Linked DNA regions of Cricetulus griseus. The protein of the gene in region 3 binds, or shares a complex with, the protein of the main gene of each other region. Links are inferred from orthologs where the notes say so. Each region holds a gene or a part of one and is shown on either strand. Other genes may lie near its edges. The genes, in order: nucleoside diphosphate kinase A, Anp32a and Trex1.

Region 1 (6,414 bases), on a different chromosome or scaffold from region 3:
GTAGCACTGGCATGCCTTGAACTTGTGACCCTTTTGTTTCAGCCTACCAATAGCTGGGATGAAAGGACTGTGCTTGTTTTGTTGCTGCTGTTGTGTGGTTTTTTTTTTTTTTTTTTTTTTTTGGTTTTCGAGACAGGGTTTCTGTGTGGCTTTGGAGCCTATCCTAGCACTTGCTCTGGAGACCAGGCTGGCCTCGAACTCACAGAGATCTGCTTGCCTCTGCCTCCCAAGTGCTGGGATTAAAGGCATATGCCACCAACACCCGGTGAAGGCATGCTTTCTTGTGCTCAGCTCACTTTCTCCATTTTATATAGTCCAGGATGCCCTGTCCCTAGCACCACATTAGCAGGATGTGTGGCAGACACCTGCAATCCCTGCATTTGGGAAGATGTGAGATTGAGGTTCAAGGTCATTTTGGCTATCTAGTAACTTTGAGGCCAACCAGGGCTATAAGAGAAACTGTCTCAAACAACAAACAATAACAAAACTTAAACTTAAACCAAGGACTTAAGCTGGACATGGTGTCTCATGCTTATAATCCCAGAATTTGGGGAGCTAAGGTAGTACTTCTGTAAGTTGTGGGCTATCCTGGGCTACATAGTGCATTAAATACTATATAGAGCAACTGCCTCCAAACAACAAGGAAAACAAAAACCCAAACCAAACCAAAGCAAAACATAAACAAATCCAGAAAACTGTCATTCTTGTTACCCACAAAAATTCTGCCCTCAACAGTTTTCCCTGTGCTCATTTATGATTTCTTGAAACTTTGTTATATGTGTACAATTGCCATCACAGTCAACATACAGAAATAGGCTAGCTACAAAATAAATTTGAGGTCAGTCTGAGCTACAAGAGGCTCTATTTCCAAACAAACCACAAATAAACAAAACCAGCAATTAACTATCTAACTAACCAACCGAACAAAGCTAAACCAAAGCTTGCTGGACTAGGCTAGGCATGGTGACAAGATTCCTTATGGTTATAGAGCACCTACTGTTATTGCAGAGAACCAGAGTTCGATCCCCAGCACCCACATCAGATTACTCACAACTGTTTGTAACTCTTGCTCCTGGGGATCTGACACCTCTCTATCTTTGTTTGGGTCTCTATTGCTGTGAAGGGACACCATGACCACTTTAACTCTTAAAAAGGAAAAGATTTAATTAAGGTGGTGTCTTATAGTTCAGAGATTCAGTCCATTATCTTCAAGGCAGGGAACATGGTAGTGTACAGGCAGACTTGGTGCTGGCTACACCTTGATCTGAAGGCAACAGGAAGTTGACAGGTAGTGGGGGGTATCCTGAGCATAGGAAACCTCAAAGCCCACCTCCATAGTGACACCCTTTCTCTAATCACTCCAACAAAGCCATATCTCCTAATAGTGCTATGAGCTTATGGGGGGGGTTGACCACCTCAAACATAGACATACACATGAACACATAAACAATCACAAATAATACCAGATGAGACGCCTTTAATCCTAGTACACAGGGGACATAGACAGGTGGATCTCTAAGAGTTAGAGATCAGCTGGGTCTACATAGTGAGACCTTGCCTCGAAAAAACAAAACAAAACAATAATAATTAAAAAAAAATCCTCTTACATCTCTGTGAGTTTGAGGCCAGCCTGGTCTACAGAGCAAGTTCCAGGACAACCTCCAAAGCAAATACAGAGAGACCCTGTCTCGAAAAAGAAAACAAAAGACGTATAGGAGGAGAAAGCTTTGTGGGGCGTTGGTGGTTTAATCCCAGCACTCGGGAGGTAGAGGCAGGAGGATCTCTGTGAGTTCGAGGCCAGCCTGGTCTACAGAGTGAGTGCCAGGATAGCCTCCAAAGCTACAGAGAAACTCTGTCTCAGGAAACCAAAAAATCCTCTTACAACAATAAAAAAATTCTTCTACTGAGTTTCCTACCATCCAAGGCTACTATAATTCTCCGCTCTCTAATAATAGGCTTGCTCCTTTATCACTAAACTTCATGTAGGTCTATTTGATTTTCACTTCTGCAGCGATTTCTCAACCTTATTTTTCTTCCCTGCTCTGATCTTTCTTCACAGCACTTACATAACTCCGTGCGTTCACTATCAATTTCTTTTCATTGTTTGTCCCAATTTTCAACCCTCCCAGAAACCTCAAGTGAGTTTACTGCTTTATCCCTGGGTTCTAGAACAGTGCCTGCTGGGCACATAGTATTTAGTACATTTGCTGCTTGACAGGGCGAAGAGAAGCGGAGTGACTGGGGCTTTAGTTCTATTCCGTGCAGTGTGAGCGCCACCTCCCGGGCAACCAAATCGTCTCGGGAACGGAGGAAGTGAGTTACACGACAGTAGGGGCAGGAACAAAAGATGGCCGCCAGCCGGAAAAGCCGGGGAGGGGGCGGGGGGATACACACGACAAAAACAAAAACCACACCCAGTGCCGGAAGTTAAACCCTGGAAAGAGTGCCCTCCTACTCACCGGAGGAAGCGGGGACTGGCGGTGTTCCACCAAAAGGGCTCTCCTGAATCAGAACTGTTCCGAAAGGTTCCGTGCGAGCCGCTGCTCGAAACCACGTGAGGCCAGGACGTGTTTCCGGTGCAGCCGGAGAGAGAGACTGGCTTCTGAAGGGGTGAGAGGGGTTCGGGTGCTGAGGGAAAGGGAACGTTGAGGGCCTAGGTAAGCGGAGAGGGAGGTGGGTGTGAAATGAAGGGAAAGGGGTGCATTCTCTGAGAGGCGTTGAGGAAGATCGCGGCCTCGACTGTGGACAGGTGCAGACCTGTCAGCCTGACACGTGGGCTCGCCTTTGTCTGTGGCCGCAGTTCCTGTCAGACTGCGCCGGCACGGCTGTGCCTTACCCTCCTTCCAGCCCTGTGCTGAGCGCAGAGCTTGCTGAATAAATGACACGTGTGTGTGTGCGTGTGTGTGTCTGTGTGTCTGTGTGTGTGTGTCTGTGTCTGTGTGTCTGTGTTCGGTGTGCAGAGCCTTTCATAGGGGCTGTTTCTGAGGGATCTATTCTTGTTCCACATTCCTTCAGAGATTCTCCAGCTTGTCTGCGGGTTCTGTCTGTCTTCGGAAGGCATGATTGGCCTTTTAAAGCATCTTCTTTGCTCCTATTGACTGCCAGGCCCTGTGGCTTGGAATCAAAGCAGGGGCTGGAGTAGATCAACTCTTTTATGCAGGTCACAGATCCGAGAGGCGGGAGAGGGGAGGAAGGCACCAACAGAAATGATCATTAAAAGATTATGTATTATTGTATGTTCCTGTGCATGCATGCCTTAGCACACTTGTGAACACACCAGAAGACAACTTCGTGGAATGGGCCCGAGGGACCAAACTCAGGTTTGTGGTACAAAAACCTTTGCTCACTGAACCATCTAGCTGGGTCAGGCCCCATTCTTTATTTTATTTTATTTATTTTTACTTTTGGCTTTTAGAGACAGGGTTTCTCTGTGGCTTTGGAGGCTGTCCTGGAACTAGCTCTTGTAGACCAGGCTGGTCTCTAACTCACAGATCTGCCTGCCTCTGCCTCCCGAAACCTGGGATTAAAGGCATTCGCCACCACCGCCCGTCGCAGGCCCCATTCTTAATGTATAAAATCAGAGGTTAATTCATGTTTAGGCAGCCAGGTCCAGGAGCTGGTGTTTCTATCCTCTTAGGTATTGTCTTTCAAGGTGGAGTCTTCTTTCATTTTGTGGGATTGTGTTCCCTGGAAATGGAAGGTTCTGGAATGGATGCTCTCCAGGTGTCTTCCCTCAGTGATGATGAATTGTGCTGTGGGTCTCCCATAAGCCACTGTTCATTGACTACTCATTGCACTTTCCCCCAGTACACAGTTTAATAAATGTTAATTGCTATTCTTACTAATGGACCTTCAATTTTCTTGTCCTTTTATTCTCTGACAGTTTTATACATGTATGTAATAGTTAGTCATCCCCCTCCTCCATTACAATCTTTGGCTCTCCTGTTCCTGTTGAACTCCTTTCCTGTGAGTCCCCTCCTACCTTCATGTCTTTGTGTGTGTGTGTGTGTGTGTGTGTTGGGGGGGAGACTGAGTTTAATTAGAATTGCGTGCTTCATTGATGGAGGAGTTAATTGCTGGAGCAGCTTACCCATGGCTGTATCCCTGAAGAAAATGATACCCACTCACCCACAGCCGTTAATCACCGTTAGCTTCCTAGGCAGGGGTAAGGCCTTGGGCCTATGAGTCCCTCCCCTTCTGTGATGGAGCATAGTCATTGCATCTTTTCTCTCTTTTCTCTTGTTTCTTGAAACAGAGTCTTATGTAGCTCAGTTCAGGTTGGGATCATTGACATGGGCTACCACACCTCCCCACTACGCTCAGCTCTATTTTCTTTTCATTCCCCTTTTTTCTTTTTTGAGTCAGGGTTTTAGGTTGCCCAGGCCAGCCTGGAATCCTCTGCCCTTTGGCCTTAGCCTTCCTAGTGGTAGGATTATTGGCACACATCCTCAGTCATTACATCTTAGGGAGTATCCCAAACTGTATAGGGCTGGGAAATCTTATTCTTTGTAGAATGAAGATTGTTGGTTTTTTTTTTTTATTTTTTATTTATTATGTATACAACATTCTGCTTCCATGTATATCTGCACACCAGAAGAGGAAACCAGATCTCATAACGGGTGGTTGTGAGCCACCATGTGGTTGCTGGGAATTGAACTCAGGACCTCTGGAAGAACAGTCAGTGCTCTTAACCTCTGAGCCATCTCTCCAGCCCCCAAAGGTGGTTGTTATGACATAGTCTCTAAAACTCTTGTGGGTTCTAATGCTGTTGGTCATACTGTGTTGAATCAGATGTAACTTTCAGTAGGAAAACCATATCATTGCATTTTCCCCTTACTGGTATTACCACAAGAAAAAAAAAATTGGTATCTTTTTAGTGTGTCTTAGTTTTATGTCTCCCTTTTTAGTTCTATCACAGTATTAAGTACATAACAGAAGCTCAATAGGAGTGTATGAAATCAAGTAGATTAGAAATTACATTTCTTCTTTTGAACCCTTTTCTACTTTCAGATCAAAATTCATTGATGAGTGAACTGGGCAGGGATTGGGATTTTACTAGAGAGACTTAAAGTAGACATAATATATTAAATCCAGTTTTATGAGAGAGTAATCCGCTTGAGAAGGATCATGATGAGGGAGGGTAGAGATTCTGTCCTGTTTCATTCCCTGCTTATCTCTCCAGGACCATGGCCAACAGTGAGCGCACCTTCATTGCTATCAAGCCTGATGGGGTCCAGCGGGGTCTGGTGGGCGAGATCATCAAGCGTTTTGAACAGAAGGGATTCCGACTTGTTGGCCTGAAATTTATGCAGGTGAGTGGACCTCACATTTCCTGTTTTGGTATTTGGAATATAGTAGAATATTGCAGAGTAACTTCTGTGTTTGCTTTGTTTCCTGTCTAGACTTCCCCATGGTAGGGTGTCTTCTCAGTGACCAAGCATGTTGGCTGAATCTTGGAACAAACCAAGTCATTTGGGGCTTTCAAAACTAGTCTGTCTTTACCCCTAACATTGTAGAATTCCACGTATTACTGCAGATCTGTAATTTCTGACTCAGCTCTGTGAGTGTTTTGGAGCTCTTGGTCTCTAGCCTCCTGAACAGATAATTTTAGAGACTATCCTTCCACCCCCACGGCCTTCAAGATAGGCTGTCAGGAAGAAAATCTTTGCTTTACTAATTACTACCTGATAGTGCCTAGCATGAGTCAGGCATGATACGTGGGGCTTTGTAGGGAAAGCTGCAATTTTGCTTGTGGGGGCTCCTCACAGAACAGAGAAAGGAAACAATTCTAATACTCTTGGTGATCTTCCTTTCTCAGTATTCTGAGTCCTGGGGTTCTGTGCATAAGTCATCATCCACTCAGATAACAATATTCCAATAAATACCAAGAATTCATTGGCCAAGAACTCTTCTTCAAGCAGATCTATGAGATGTGAATTCTAGTTCTCAAAGCAAATACATTAGGGGGCACCATATTTTTTTCCCATTCTAGCAATACACTTTTGGTTCATAGTGTATTTTGAGTTCAATTTAATTTTCAATGTTGAGTTTTTATTTCATTATTATTTTGCTGCTGTTTTTGAGTTAGCTGAATAGCCCTGGCTAGCCTGGAACCTTCTTTGTAGACCAGGCTAGCCACTAACTCACAGAGTGCTGCCTCTGCCTCCAGAGTGTTGGGATTAAAGGTGTGTACTACTGTGCTCAGATGCACTCTTGTTTTTTTTTTTTTAATTTGTATTTATGAGTATGTACGTGTGCCTGTTTGTGTGTAATGCGCACCATATATGTACAGGTGCATGTGGAGGCCAGGAGATGGTATCAGAACCCCTGGAACTGGAGTTATAAATTGTTGTGAGCCACCTGATATGGGTGTGAGAACCAAACTCAGGGCCTCTGCAAGAGCAGCAAGTGCTT
Region 2 (6,654 bases), about 43 Mb from region 3:
AAACTTTGTAGATAAACTACAAGCCAAAGGAACTTTCTTCCTTCAGCAGGCACTAGCAGGTGGCAATACTCAAAGTGCTTTGATTTTTGAGCTTCTATACTGACTGACATCCAGAGAAAGCCATCTTCTAGTTTTGTGACACTAAATACAAAAGCAGTTATTCAAAAACTGTAAAGTTAAGGTGCTCCAAAACCAAGTTATATTTAACACTTTCAGTGATGAGGTCACCATTTTTTTTTCCCATCCTCATTTAGTCTCTAGTATTCTGGTTTCTCTTCAGATCATATGAAATGCCTGCCTTTTCATAATTTTGTTTCTGTATATTCTCCATTAAGGGTGTATATGTGGAGTGGTTATGGGGGTGGGGTTGCGATCCCAAGTAGTTCTCTTCTGTCTCTGTCAAGTGGGCTGTTTGGTCTACTTAGCAGAGATAGAAAGGGGCACCTTTCCTGTGGAAAGGACTCTCCCACAACACTGCTGTTAGCAGGGACCTCAAGTGTGGTCCAGGGTTTAAGTGGTGAATGAGCATTTACCATTCCAAAGAGCATGAAATTCAAGACTCCTGTTGTATAGATTCTGCACACCATCCCCTCTTAATATACTTGTGAAGTAAAACTATTGTTTTGTTTTGTTTTGTTTTTTGGTTTTTTGGAGACAGGGTTTCTCTGTGCAGCTTTGGAGCCTATCCTGGCACTCGCTCTGGAGATCAGGCTGGCCTCGAACTCAAGAGATCCGCCTGCCTCTGCCTCCGGAGTGCTGGGATTAAAGGCGTGTGCCATCAACACCCGGCTAAAACTATTGTTTTGAAAACATTAACTATCATATACAGAAATAAAACTGATTCAATGGCAAAGAGGTAATTTGCAGTCCCCTGTGTTTTAAAAAGGAACCAATACAATTGAAAAATTCCAGTTACACGGCCTTCATAAAAATTAACAAAATCTAAGGATATGTTAAATGGACAACTTAAAGAAATTATGCCATATTCACCCAGATGTCATGTTTTTATTTTGTACTTCCAGTTACTTAGAATAAACATTTATCGGCTTCCAAGTTCAACTATTATTTGATCTAAAAGAATTTACTGAATAAAATGCTCAGTTCCAATGTATGCGAAAAAGATAAAACTACCTTGGGGTGTTTACGATAGAGGAAGAAGAAACAAGAGAAAAGGATACTATGATAGTTGTGTGGATGAAGTTAAACATGAGTCCCTGTTGACAGTCATCCCCGTGATTTGTCCACAGCCACAGATATCCACGCTGTACATGAGGTCCCAGGGTGGCTCATAAGAAGCTGATAACCCAGTGGGAACCGGGGCTTTTAAGGTCTATTAAAAACGTAACTTGCTCGAACAAAAACAAAACCCAAAGCAACCGAAACACCTGGATAAATGCTACAGTTAGCGACTCCTTGGCAACTCAGATCTAACCAAACGACTGGTGGACGATGAGAAAGAAATCGTGCGACGCTCTCAACAAAACCTATAAAACCCGTAAATTATGTTCGGCTCTGCGAATCGGCAGTTACTAGCACCTTTCGCATTTCCTAATATTGTATACAGCTCTGCATCCGCAGCCTTTTCATTCATTTATTGCCCTACACAAGATCTCCAGTGGCTCTCGGGGAATCGCCTCTTGTAAGGCTGCCCTGGCAGGAGATCAGAATGCCAAGCTTCTGGGTCGAGATCCCGCCCTCGCTCCTCAGACGGTAGGAACATCATGCGCTTAGACTTGCTTATTTAATTGCGGGATGGGAGAAGATCTAGTCCGAAGGGATGCGTCGAGCAGGCAGCCCGGGGTGTGATCTGTCCTTCGTGCGCCCCCAGAACGCACGCCCTCCCTAGGCCTGCCCTGCGCCCGCGCGCCCCAGGCCTCGTCTGCCCGCTAAGCACCCAGAGGATGCCCCCGTGAGGACCCCGCCCCTCCCGCGTCCACGCACCTGCGGCCCCGCCCCGGCCACGAACCTTCAGGTCCACGCACCTGCCCTGCCTTCCCTCCCGCCCCCCGCGCGCAGCCACCAAAGCGGCAGCCGCGCTCCTCCTCGGTCGCCCGGGTATCTAAAGGGGTCCGTCTCCGGCACCACAGCCAAATGGCTGAGCCTCCCTGGCCCGCTGCGCAGGCCGCCCATTGGACCCTGCCCCCCGCCGCCGCCACCACTATTGGCTGGCATCAGAAGCCTCGCCACTCGATTGGTTCGTGCTGCCGCCACTCCACGCCGGAGCCGTAGGTTCCGCCTCCACGGCGATCAGGTTAGTGTGCGCCGCGGGTGCTGGGGGCTCGAGAACCGAGCGGAGCTGGTTGAGCCTTCAAAGTCCTAAAACGCGCGGCCGTGGGTTCGGGGTTTATTGATTGAATTCCGCTGGCGCAGGATCCTCTGCAGAGAGAGAGAGCGCGAGAGATGGATATGGACAAACGGATTCATTTAGAGCTGCGGAACAGGACGCCCTCTGATGTGAGCATTTGCCAAAAATATCTCTGTCGGTCCATTCTCCTACTTTGTGTTATGTGTGCGTGTGTTTTGGGGGGGAAGGCACTTTTTTATGGAGGTGGGCTCCGAGGAGGTGTAGGGTTTAGGGTTGGACTGCAAATGAATTGCAAGGTTGGATGGGGGGGGGGTTGCAATGCCATCGGAGCATGTTCTGGCCACCGCTGCCGCTGCCCTTGGTGTGTGACTGACTACCTGTGCGTGTGCTCCCGCGTGTGCGGGTATGGGTGCGAGGGTGTGCGTACGAATGTGCACCCAGCGGGGGGCCGGCGGGGCGCACGCGTTCGGGTCGGAGGGAACGCTGCGATCTCACCCTCGTCCGAGCTCTCAGCTCCCACGACTCGCGTCTGGATGGAAAAGATGATTGAGGGGAGGAGAAGATGGGCTGCCTCCTGGATTAAACAACAAAAAGGGGGTGTTATATTTTAGAAACGTACCCCCCTTTCCGCCCCCTCTCGCGCCTGCCCCCTCCCTTTGCCGTCTCTTTCGCTCGCTGGTTCTCTCGCACACAATAAGTTTTGGGAATCGCGAGTCCGGTTTAGTTTCTGATCAATGTGGCCCGAGGCCCCCGGGGACAGCGCGTGGGGACCCGGCTGCTGCGGAGTTGGGAGATGGCTCGAGTTTAAAGCGCGTCTTCGTTTCTCTGCGGGGATGAGGCGAGAGGTGGGGAGCCATATTTGTAACTTTGTCGTGTTCGTGAACGCGCCCTTTCTCTCCCTCCCTCTCTTTCTCTGCCTGCCTTCCTTCTTCTCCTTTCTCTCTCACTCTTTCCACCCCACCTTTGGGCCAGATGCTGTCTTTTCTCCCTTCTTCTTCGCGGAAAGGGGGGGGGTTACCTTAGAAGGAGGGGGAGGGATTGTGGAGTGTGCAAATGCTCAGATAATCCTCACGCCTCCCCAACCACGAGCGATCGCTAGTGTAAGTTGCCCAAAGGCTGCGTCCCGGTGAGCCTCTGGCCCCCGGCTACCTCCCCAGATGCAAGCCTTGGCACCCTGATACCCCAACGGCACCAGTTACCCCACCTCCGGGTCCCTGCTTCTCCCGGGGTGGGCTCCCTGGCAGCCATTCGGCGCCTGATTAATAAATGGGCACGGGAAACTTTATCAGGACCCGAGGTGCCCAGAGCTGGTGCTGCTTTGGGGACCGGCCGGGTCTACATTCTTGCGGGCACGGCTGGCACGCAGCTCTGGAATGGGCAGTTCGTCTGGCCGTAGCCGTTATGGATTGGGTAGCGGCGGGAGTATGGCAGGAGGAAACTTACACCGGTGGGAATAGGCAGGCTGGGCGCTAGCCCACTGCAATGGGAAGTGAGGGTGGGTGGGTGACTCGAACGCTACTGTTTATTTTTGTCTCCCTCTCGCTTTCACACACTCGTGTTGTCTGCGAGTTGGTCCATCCGAGAGACCCTAAGCTCTGGGGTGGAAACCCCGGCCGGCTTCCCTTCAAGGTCCGGTCGTGAGGAGAAGGGGCTCGCGGGCGGGAAGATCCTCTAGGTCCAGCCTGGGTGTTCGGGGTTCGGGCGAGTTGGGGGGCTCGCGCAGCACGTTGCACTGACCCTGTCGCCCCGCCAGCCACTTGGCCCCTCGAATCCTGACAAAGGCAGGCCTCGTTTCCTCTTTTCCCCTAGTTCCTCCCTCCAAACCTGAGTAAGACTTTTGAAAACAAGCTCCTTTCTGCCGTCCGCCCATCCTCACGCAGTTGTGCACTGGAGACGTGCTACAGCCTTATGGCGCGCAGGGCGGAGAGGAGGGGGCGCCGCCGGCAGCAAGTCCTGCCGCGGGGCACGGCCGGTGGCGTCCCGACCCAGCCCCGGTGCCCGATCCCGGAGGTGGAGGGGGCTGGGTGTGGTGCTGGGGGAGGGGGCCGAAGGCGGGCTTCCCGCGTACTTTCCGGAAGACCCCTGTATGTAGTTGGGGGGCTTCGGGGTCTCGGCGAGTAAGTGCGCATAAGCGCCGGGCCGGGCCGGGCCGAGAGACCCACAGTACTAGCCAACCCGGAGCGAATCAGAAAGCGGGTCGAACCGGCTCTTTAAACTTCCCCGAGTGTGTGCACTGGGGGAGGGGCGGGCGCTCCGGGCTGGGCGCGATTTCTCACGCTTCGCCCCCTCGCCTCGAGTCCCCGGCCCACTCGCCGGCCCCGGGGCTCCTGGCGGGGTGGGGCGCGCGGGTGGCGGGGGAGGGGGCACTTGCTGCACATGGGGGAGGGGAGGGCAGAAAGCTCTCGAAAGAGGGACAAAAGGGGTGGGGGAGGAGGAACTGGCTTTTTTTGTTGTTGTTTTTCTGGTTTTTTGTTTTTTCAAATAAACGTTTTTGGAAAGCAGATCGTTCCGGGGAACCTCCCTCCCCAGAGTATCCCCCACGCACCCACCTTCTGCTACCTCTCTCCCAAGTCGCATCTCGGGGACTGGTGGCCGCGACGCCGCTGAACTAGGACGAGCAGCCATGTTTCCCGGGGCGCCGGCGGCCCGCCCCTCCCCCACGGCGGCCGCGGACCCGACTCGGCGGGGACCCGGGTGCCCCAGCGGAGGGGATCCGGGCGCGCACAGGCGCAGCAGAAGCCCGGCGGCGCCGGCCTGGGGATCGGGTCTGAAGAGAGCGCGGCGGGCCAGGGGCCCTCGACCTGCTCGGACCTGCAGACCCCTGTCTGTCCTCGCCATTTGCACTGCTAGGCCGGCGGGAGACCCAGCCCCAGGGTGCCTGGCATTCTCGGGGTACAGAGACGGCCGGCCCCGGCTCTATGCCGGTGGCTCGCCTGCTGGGCGCCGAGCTGCCATTTTGTCACCGTGTCTGTTGTCGCGCTGGGGGGGGGGGGCGAAAGGCTTGCGCCATCGCCCCGACGGCCGCCCTCCAGCGAGGTGGCTTCTGGGGGAACTGTCCCCAGGGACACCCCACCCCACTTTTGCGTTTGGCCTTATGGGGGCCCCCACCCTGCGCCCGGGGTCTGAGGATCCCGAGGGTATCGCAGCCCTGAGAAGGTGACGATCTCCTTAGCCAGTCCTGTCCCGTGCCCCCCCCCGCCCCCCGCCGCCGCCGCCTTGGCTCCCTGCCTCCAACCCCCCCCCCCCCCGCGCTCGGTTTTCCGCCGTGGCTCCCGCTGCGCTCTGCACGTAGTGAAAGGTGGCCTTGAAGGCGAAACGATCGCTCTGGTGTTTGCGCCTTCGGCGGAAATGATGGGGTGGTGTTTGGGGGGTGGGGGTGAAACTGGAGGGCGGGAGGGGGGCTCAAGCTCGCCAGTCTGGTGGCCCTAACTGAAGTCGAGGGCGTCGGCCTCCTACCCGGGAGGGACGAGTTGTCGGGATGCGTTGGGGAAACGCCCTCCGGGGCTGGGCTCCCTAGAAAGGTTGGTCGAGTTTCAGGTGGGTGTCCAGCACCCTGCAGGTTGGGGGAGCTCTCTCGCTATTTATCCTTTGCCCCCCTCTCCTTTTTTCCTTTTTGTTTTGGCGGGGAAGGTAGCTAACTACAAAGTAAACCTCCACCCTAAACCGAAAGAGAATAGGACTTTCCTTTAAAAAAAAAAAAGTAATCTTTTTGTGTTGACTTAAGACTCAGGCAATTTGTTCCCATTGCTGGTCCGGATGTGGGACTTAAGCGTGTGGTAGGCACCTCCCTGGCTGTAGGCTAGTGTCTGCATGCAGAGTCTAACTTCCATGGAAGTGTCCGGCAAAGGCTGCCTTCAGAGCCAGCGTCTACTTTGACCTCTGGAATCTATTGCATTTTCCCCCCAGCTTGACTTACTGCCTAATTGGGTTCAAGTGGCCCGGTATTTGCTCCAGTTTATGCAAGCCAAGCAGGGACTCTGGGGCAGAGAACTGAGTGAGACCTTGGTGTGGTGGTGATCAGTTGAGTCTTGTGACTGGCAGCCGCTGCTACTTGTTTTGAATCTGAAGGTTCCGTGGTGAGACTGAGTTCTGAAGCCACACAGACCTGGGTTTGGGTTCACCAGCTACACGGAGGTAGGGTACTAACCTGTGGTCTGGGACAGATTACCTCAGTTTACCTCCAAAGCTTTGCACATATGTCCTGCAAGATAGGGACAGTGCTGCTTTCTCAGCAAGTGACAAAAATTGGTTTGATTTGGCCCTTAGCAGGTGCTTTGTATAGTCTCAGATGCTGGGGAGTGGTAAGGGATAACTTAAGGCATCCTGGAGGCTTAAAATAACTAACAACT
Region 3 (5,894 bases):
TCCAGCCCTTGCGACCTGATTCCTTGGCCACAGCCATCCCTTTGTCTCTGAGACCTGAGGGAGAAATAGCATTCATATTCTCTGTGTCTGTCTGTCTGTCTGTCTGTCTGTCTGTCTGTCTGTCTCTCTCTCTCTCTCTCTCTCTCTCTCTCTGTGTGTGTGTGTGTGTGTTTCTTGAGTGCACGGGCACTACATGTGCCTTTCACTCTGATAACAGAGACCAGTGGAGGAAAATGGTTTTCCTTGTTCTGTGAATGGCTTCATAAGACAGAGCTGTAGCCAGGTCCATGCTTGTTTCTTAGAGACTATCCTGTAGTATTGGATAAAGAACGTTTCTCATGCTGTTTTGAGAGCAGATGCAGGAAGAGGCCTGAGGGTGTGGTCATGCACCCCATATCCAGGGAGTCCTGTCCCATTTATTTCATACAAAGCTACGTAAGGGCCTGTCTTTTTTTAGGGTGAATGAGGGGTTGTGATATGCTGGTGAGGCTTGATTGCATGTAGCCTAGGCTCATCTCTAACTCATTGTGTGGTGGATCCTGCCTCTGACTCCCAAGTGCTGAGATTATGGGCATGTACCCCCCACCCCCACTGAGGGCCTGTTATTTTTAAGTCACAGCAGTCTTGTAAAGGTTAATACCTGTCTACCTGTGACAATCTTGAAGCAATAGGCCATGGTCAGGCCAGCATTTAAACCCTTGTCTGACTGCATTAAGTGTCCTTTTGCAGAGTGTCGTAACTGTGCCCATCCTTCAGGTTCTCCTGTGTGTTGCCGATGTTGCCACAGTGCCTCAGCTCAGAGCTGCCACTGCCGTGTGTGCTACTGGCTGTTGAGCTGCTCTCCCTTCTGGTGGACCATGACAGCTTTGCACAGCAGCTGTGCTTCCACTCAGGTAAAGCAGGCCAGGCTGGCTCTCAACTATCCTGTCATGGAAGGGAGGGTTTGGCGCAGGGACAGGTTCAGAGCCTCTCGGGGGGCTTCTGCACTTGGACCCCAGGCTCCAGTGAAAAGGGAGATGCTGAGTAAGGCTGGGCATCCTTTTCAGAAGGCTGCCTTCTCCTGAGGCTGTACATGTACATTACGTCAAGGCCTGACAAAGTGGCCTCAGAGACACAGTGGCTTCAGCTGGAACAAGAGGTAAGATGGGGAGACCGAGAGACTGTGCACCCCTCACCCCCTTCCTAAGAGCCCAGGGTCTTTCCTCCTGTGGGAAAACAGGAGCTACACTTGATTTTGATTAGTTTGTCGAACCACAACAGGTAAGATTTAGGGGTTCCTCACACAGATACAATACAAATGTACCCAGGATTACAATGGACTCAGCAGAGTTGCCTGATGCTGCTGCCTGGTTTGGGGGGCCTGATCCTGGCCCCAGAAGTAGGTAAGCTATTGATGAGATTCGGGTCTGAAAGCCTCGAACCACCACTACTCAGCCCCCACTTGTGTAAGCAAACAGCTGGAGAAGTAGCTAGAGCTTCTTAGAAATGCCCGAGAAAGCCCTGGTGACAAGTGTCGGGTTCTGCAAGTGACAAGCCATCTCTTCTCATTCCAGGTGGTATGGCTTTTGGCCAAGCTGAGTGTGCAGAGTCCTTCCCTGCCAGGCATTGGTTCTGACTGCCAATGCAACGTAGAGGTGAGTGGCCAGGGGCCGCAACATGCCAGCTCAGTTGGGTAAGTGGCTAGGCTGAGTGAGTCCTTAGACCTCGGTCTGTGCCCTCTCTCACCCCAGGCAGTCAGAGTGCTCACTGTGATGTTGCACAGACAATGGCTGACTGTGCGGCGGGCAGGGGGTCCAAGGACCCCCCAGCAGAAGCAGACGATGCGCTGTCTGAGGGACACTGTGCTGCTGCTGCATAGCCTGTCTCAGAAGGACAAGTTCTTTACTGTGCATTGTGTGGAGGTCCTGCATCAGTATGACCAGGTGATGCCAGGGGTCAGCATGCTGATTCGAGCCCTTCCTGATGTAGCCGATTGTGAAGGTAAGCCAGCAAGAGGACCCTGCCCGAGCCTTTATGAGCCTCTGCCTGAGGCTCATGAGATGGCAAGTTCCTTTGCTAGGCCTCAGTGCCCCCCCCCACCACCACCACCAGAGCCATTTTTCTGGCACTGTGGACATTACCTTCCTGCTCTGGTTCTTTGAGTATACTAGGTTGTCCTTTGATCATGTCCATTGAATTGGCCTAGCTGAGCCATGGTTTTTCCAGAATATATCTGTCTGAATTGCTTTTGTATCACTTTTGCTCACAGTAGCTGAGGGAGCAAAGCTTGGGCATGGAAGGGACTGGTTAGTTCCTGTGCTGCTAGGGGAGGATGGGTAGACCTCCAAGCCTCAGCACTATCAGGCTTAACCTCAGAACCCTCTTCCTTTTGGTTCAGAGGCAGCCCTGGATGACCTCTGTGCTGCGGAGACAGATTTGGAAGACTCTGAAATGGACTGTAGCTGACGGCCTGAGCAGCCGGCCACAAGGTGGCACCAGCTCCCACCACTGTCTTTGCCATATCCACTGATTAAAACTGCAGTTCCTGCTGAGAACAACAGCTTTGTTTCCTGAGTCTAGTTTGTGTGACTGAGAGCGAGGGACAGAGAAGACTAGGAACTACCTCCCTCCCCTTACTGGAGTTGAGATGGTCCCCATGGTAACTAATCTGCCTTGAGGAAATGCCCTACCCCTCTTCGGGAATTGCCCTGAGTCATAGCTTTGGGCTGGAGCCATGGGAAAAACTTTGTGTGTAGCAGAGAAGGCAGCCCTTCCCTAGGAAGGCCTGGGAAAGTGGCCCAAGGACTAGGAAAGGCAAGGAAAGCCATGGTAGAGGTTTGCAGGAGTGTTTGAACCCTGGAGACAAGCAAAGGTTAAGAGCGTTGTCAGTGTGGCAGCACTAGTCTTGTTTTATCAGCCAACTGGGATCACAGCTATGGATCTAAGGCCTTTGGGGTATTTGGAGAGAGAGGGAGGGCTTTAGCATGTGAGGGCCAGGCCTGGGATGACTAGCTGGGCGGGCCTTGTTCAGAAGGCAGGCCTATGGGCAGACCCAGGCAGTTTCACTTCCTGAGCCACTGCTGCCAGCAGCAGAACCAACACAGTGCCTTGCTGCCTGCTTCTCGGTAAGTGTGGACCTTAAGGATATGGGGTAAGAAAAGAAAAGGTTTCCCTCACCCTGAGGGTGGTCAGCACTAGGGGAAGGGCTCCTGCCTCAAAAGGATAGTAGTATGCCCAGCCCACTAGGAAAACAACCCTGTCTTCTAGCCCCTGCTCTGAAAATGGGCCCTGGATAGTGCCTGACTGAAGGGAAGGCCTGAGCTGTGCTTCTGCCCACACCCTATCCCTGTCCTGGCCCACTGTAGACTCTGCTGGCACTCATCTACCCCATGCTCCTTCCCAGGCTCAGCATGGGCTCACAGGCTCTGCCCCTCGGTCCCATGCAGACCCTCATCTTCTTGGACTTGGAAGCCACTGGCCTGCCTTTTTCTCAGCCCAAGATCACAGAGCTGTGTCTGCTGGCTGTCCATAGATGTGCCCTGGAAAACACCTCCATCTCTGCGGGACAGCCACCTCCAGTGCCCAAACCACCCCGTGTGGTGGACAAGCTCTCTCTATGCATTGCTCCAGGGAAAGCCTGTAGCCCTGCAGCCAGTGAGATCACAGGTCTGAACACAGCTGAACTGGAAGCAAATGGACGGCAACCCTTTGATGACAGCTTGGCCAACCTGCTCCAAGCCTTCCTGCAGCGCCAGCCACAGCCCTGCTGCCTTGTGGCACACAATGGTGACCGTTACGACTTTCCCCTGCTCCAGGCAGAGCTTGCTATGCTGACCATTAGAAGTCCTCTAGATGGTACCTTCTGTGTAGATAGCATTGCTGCCCTAAAGGCCTTGGAACAAGCTAGCAGCTCCTCAGAGCGTGGTCCAAGGAAGAGCTACAGCCTGGGCAGCATCTATACCCGCCTGTATGGGCAAGCACCAACAGACTCACACACTGCTGAAGGTGATGTTCTAGCCCTGCTCAGCATCTGTCAGTGGAAGCCACGGGCCCTCTTGCAGTGGGTGGATAAACATGCCCGGCCCTTTAGCACCATCAAACCCATGTATGATATTGCAGCTACTGCTGGAACAACCAAGCCAAGGCCATATGCTGCCACAACCACTACATCCCTGACCACAACCAACACAAGTCCCAGCCATGGCAGGAGCAGGCAACCCAAGAATCTTCCTCCAGCAAAGGTCCCAGAAACCCCATCAGAGGAGCTGCTGGCCCCACTGAGCCTGCTGGCCTTCCTGACCTTGGCGGTAGCCATGCTGTATGGATTCTTCTTGGCCTCACCTGGGCAATAAACCAAGGAAAATCTGACTAATAAAGACCCCCACAGCACTGACAGGTACTTGCTGCCTCCACTTCTTCACAGCCTGGGCCTCTGCCCACATTCAGGGCCCTGGGGACGAGCGAGGCCCAGCTTCAGCCCCTTGCTGTCTTAGCAGGATAATCAAACCTACCTGGCTAATAAAAGTAGGGGAAACCAAGTTCAAGAGACAGATAAAAACAGTATTTGGTGATATAGCCGAGGCTAGCAGCCCAGGCTCTGAAGAAAGAGGAAGTAGGCCCAAATGTTTGCATTTATTATAAACAAAGGTACAGAGCCTGGATGCTCCAAAATACACAACAGACACAGAGCTAGGACAGCTATTGGAACAGCAATCCACAGGGAACACCGAGGTAAAGTATTCATGTCTGGGCCAGAGCTCCCGTCTATGCCCTCCACCCCACCTTTGGTCCAGATAGCCCCTTGGCCCTGGCATCTCTGGTGCTATACAGGAGTCAGGTATTCTATGAAGCTGGTGTCAAGGGAAACAGATTATCAGAGGCCAGGTTATCCTCCAGGAACCAGGGATTTCAACCTCACACCAACTAGCACATCTCGAGGCAGAAAACAGGCAAAATGTTTGGCTAAAAGTAAAACAAGGCAGTGCAAGTAGAAACAAGCCATGGTAGACAGAGGCCCCTTGCCTAGTGGCAGGAGCCAGGCAGCAAAGGTAGAAAAACTTCCTCACTGAAGCCTGAATGCTGAGTGCATGTAGCCCTCCACATAGTCCTAGGAAAGCCACCGGGACAGTCCAGACAACTGATGGTGAGTAGATGAGGCTGTCTGGTGTGCTTTAACATTGGGAGCTGACCCACGCACGACACTGAGCTTCAGCCAGGCCCCTTGTTCTGCCCACCTACCTGCCTCACTGCAAAATGCAGCCAACCCCTGGGGACAAGCCATGGCCCTGACCAGCAGCTAGCTGGTTACTCCCCAGAGCAGGACATGTGCCCACAAAAAGCTTACTCTCCTAAGTGTGACAGGCCATGGCTGGTCACCTTGGGGTGAACTGGGAAATACCTCCTACCCCAATGTTTCTAATTTACTTGAGATTTCAGAAAGTATAATTCAAGTGAGGAAGAAAACAGGTTGGTCCCAAGCCACACTGGTAAGGGTTTGTGCCTACCTGGTCAGCATCAGGAGTCACAGGGTTAGACAAGGCACATACACCCCAGAGAGCAGTAAAGAACTGCATGCCACTCACTCACACATGACAATCAAATGGCAGCCAAAGAGGCGGGGGCAGGCTCAGGGAACTGCCTTTGGGGGGTCCATGTAGGCCGGATTGTATGGAGGCTGACTGGCAGAGTAGGGTGCAGATGAACCTCCTGAAAGTAAAGAGGACATAGGTTAGCTGTGGGGACATTGGGCTGCAGTATAGATGGGATGCAAGTTAGCAGGAAGGGACCCTAGGAACAGAGACTTGAGTTGGGGACCATGCAGGGTACCCACAGTGGTACTCACCAGCCAAGGTCTCATGGTAGGCTGGTGGTCCCACGGGCTGGGCCAGGTAGGGCGGTGGGTACTGTGTCGGGTA

The links.
Region 1: Trex1 (region 3) and nucleoside diphosphate kinase A share a complex: the UniProt entries of both Homo sapiens proteins name them as parts of the SET complex. The link is inferred for Cricetulus griseus from reciprocal best matches to the Homo sapiens genes TREX1 and NME1.
Region 2: Trex1 (region 3) and Anp32a share a complex: the UniProt entries of both Homo sapiens proteins name them as parts of the SET complex. The link is inferred for Cricetulus griseus from reciprocal best matches to the Homo sapiens genes TREX1 and ANP32A.

What each region holds. Positions count from the first base shown.
Region 1 is NC_048600.1:106,878,463-106,884,876, reverse strand, and holds the start of nucleoside diphosphate kinase A, read left to right. Parts: upstream 1-2,451; 5' UTR 2,452-2,610; intron 2,611-3,260; exon of another isoform or gene 3,261-3,320; intron 3,321-5,179; exon of another isoform or gene 5,180-5,182; 5' UTR 5,183-5,186; coding exon 5,187-5,312; intron 5,313-6,414. UniProt on the Homo sapiens protein: Major role in the synthesis of nucleoside triphosphates other than ATP. The ATP gamma phosphate is transferred to the NDP beta phosphate via a ping-pong mechanism, using a phosphorylated active-site intermediate.
Region 2 is NC_048597.1:173,857,051-173,863,704, forward strand, and holds the start of Anp32a (acidic leucine-rich nuclear phosphoprotein 32 family member A), read left to right. Parts: upstream 1-2,376; 5' UTR 2,377-2,400; coding exon 2,401-2,454; intron 2,455-2,682; coding exon of another isoform or gene 2,683-2,879; intron 2,880-2,997; coding exon of another isoform or gene 2,998-3,130; intron 3,131-3,748; exon of another isoform or gene 3,749-4,843; intron 4,844-4,854; coding exon of another isoform or gene 4,855-5,143; exon of another isoform or gene 5,144-5,512; intron 5,513-6,654. Other genes in the region: uncharacterized protein LOC113835543, read right to left, coding at 2,345-2,376, 2,683-2,879, 2,998-3,130, 4,855-5,143. UniProt on the Homo sapiens protein: Multifunctional protein that is involved in the regulation of many processes including tumor suppression, apoptosis, cell cycle progression or transcription. Promotes apoptosis by favouring the activation of caspase-9/CASP9 and allowing apoptosome formation.
Region 3 is NC_048597.1:217,167,613-217,173,506, reverse strand, and holds Trex1 (three-prime repair exonuclease 1), read left to right. Parts: upstream 1-2,685; 5' UTR 2,686-3,021; coding exon 3,022-3,104; intron 3,105-3,382; coding exon 3,383-4,331; 3' UTR 4,332-4,374; downstream 4,375-5,894. Other genes in the region: Atrip (ATR-interacting protein), read left to right, coding at 757-893, 1,047-1,138, 1,554-1,634, 1,731-1,980, 2,378-2,445; Shisa5 (protein shisa-5), read right to left, coding at 5,606-5,685, 5,822-5,894. UniProt on the Homo sapiens protein: Major cellular 3'-to-5' DNA exonuclease which digests single-stranded DNA (ssDNA) and double-stranded DNA (dsDNA) with mismatched 3' termini. Prevents cell-intrinsic initiation of autoimmunity.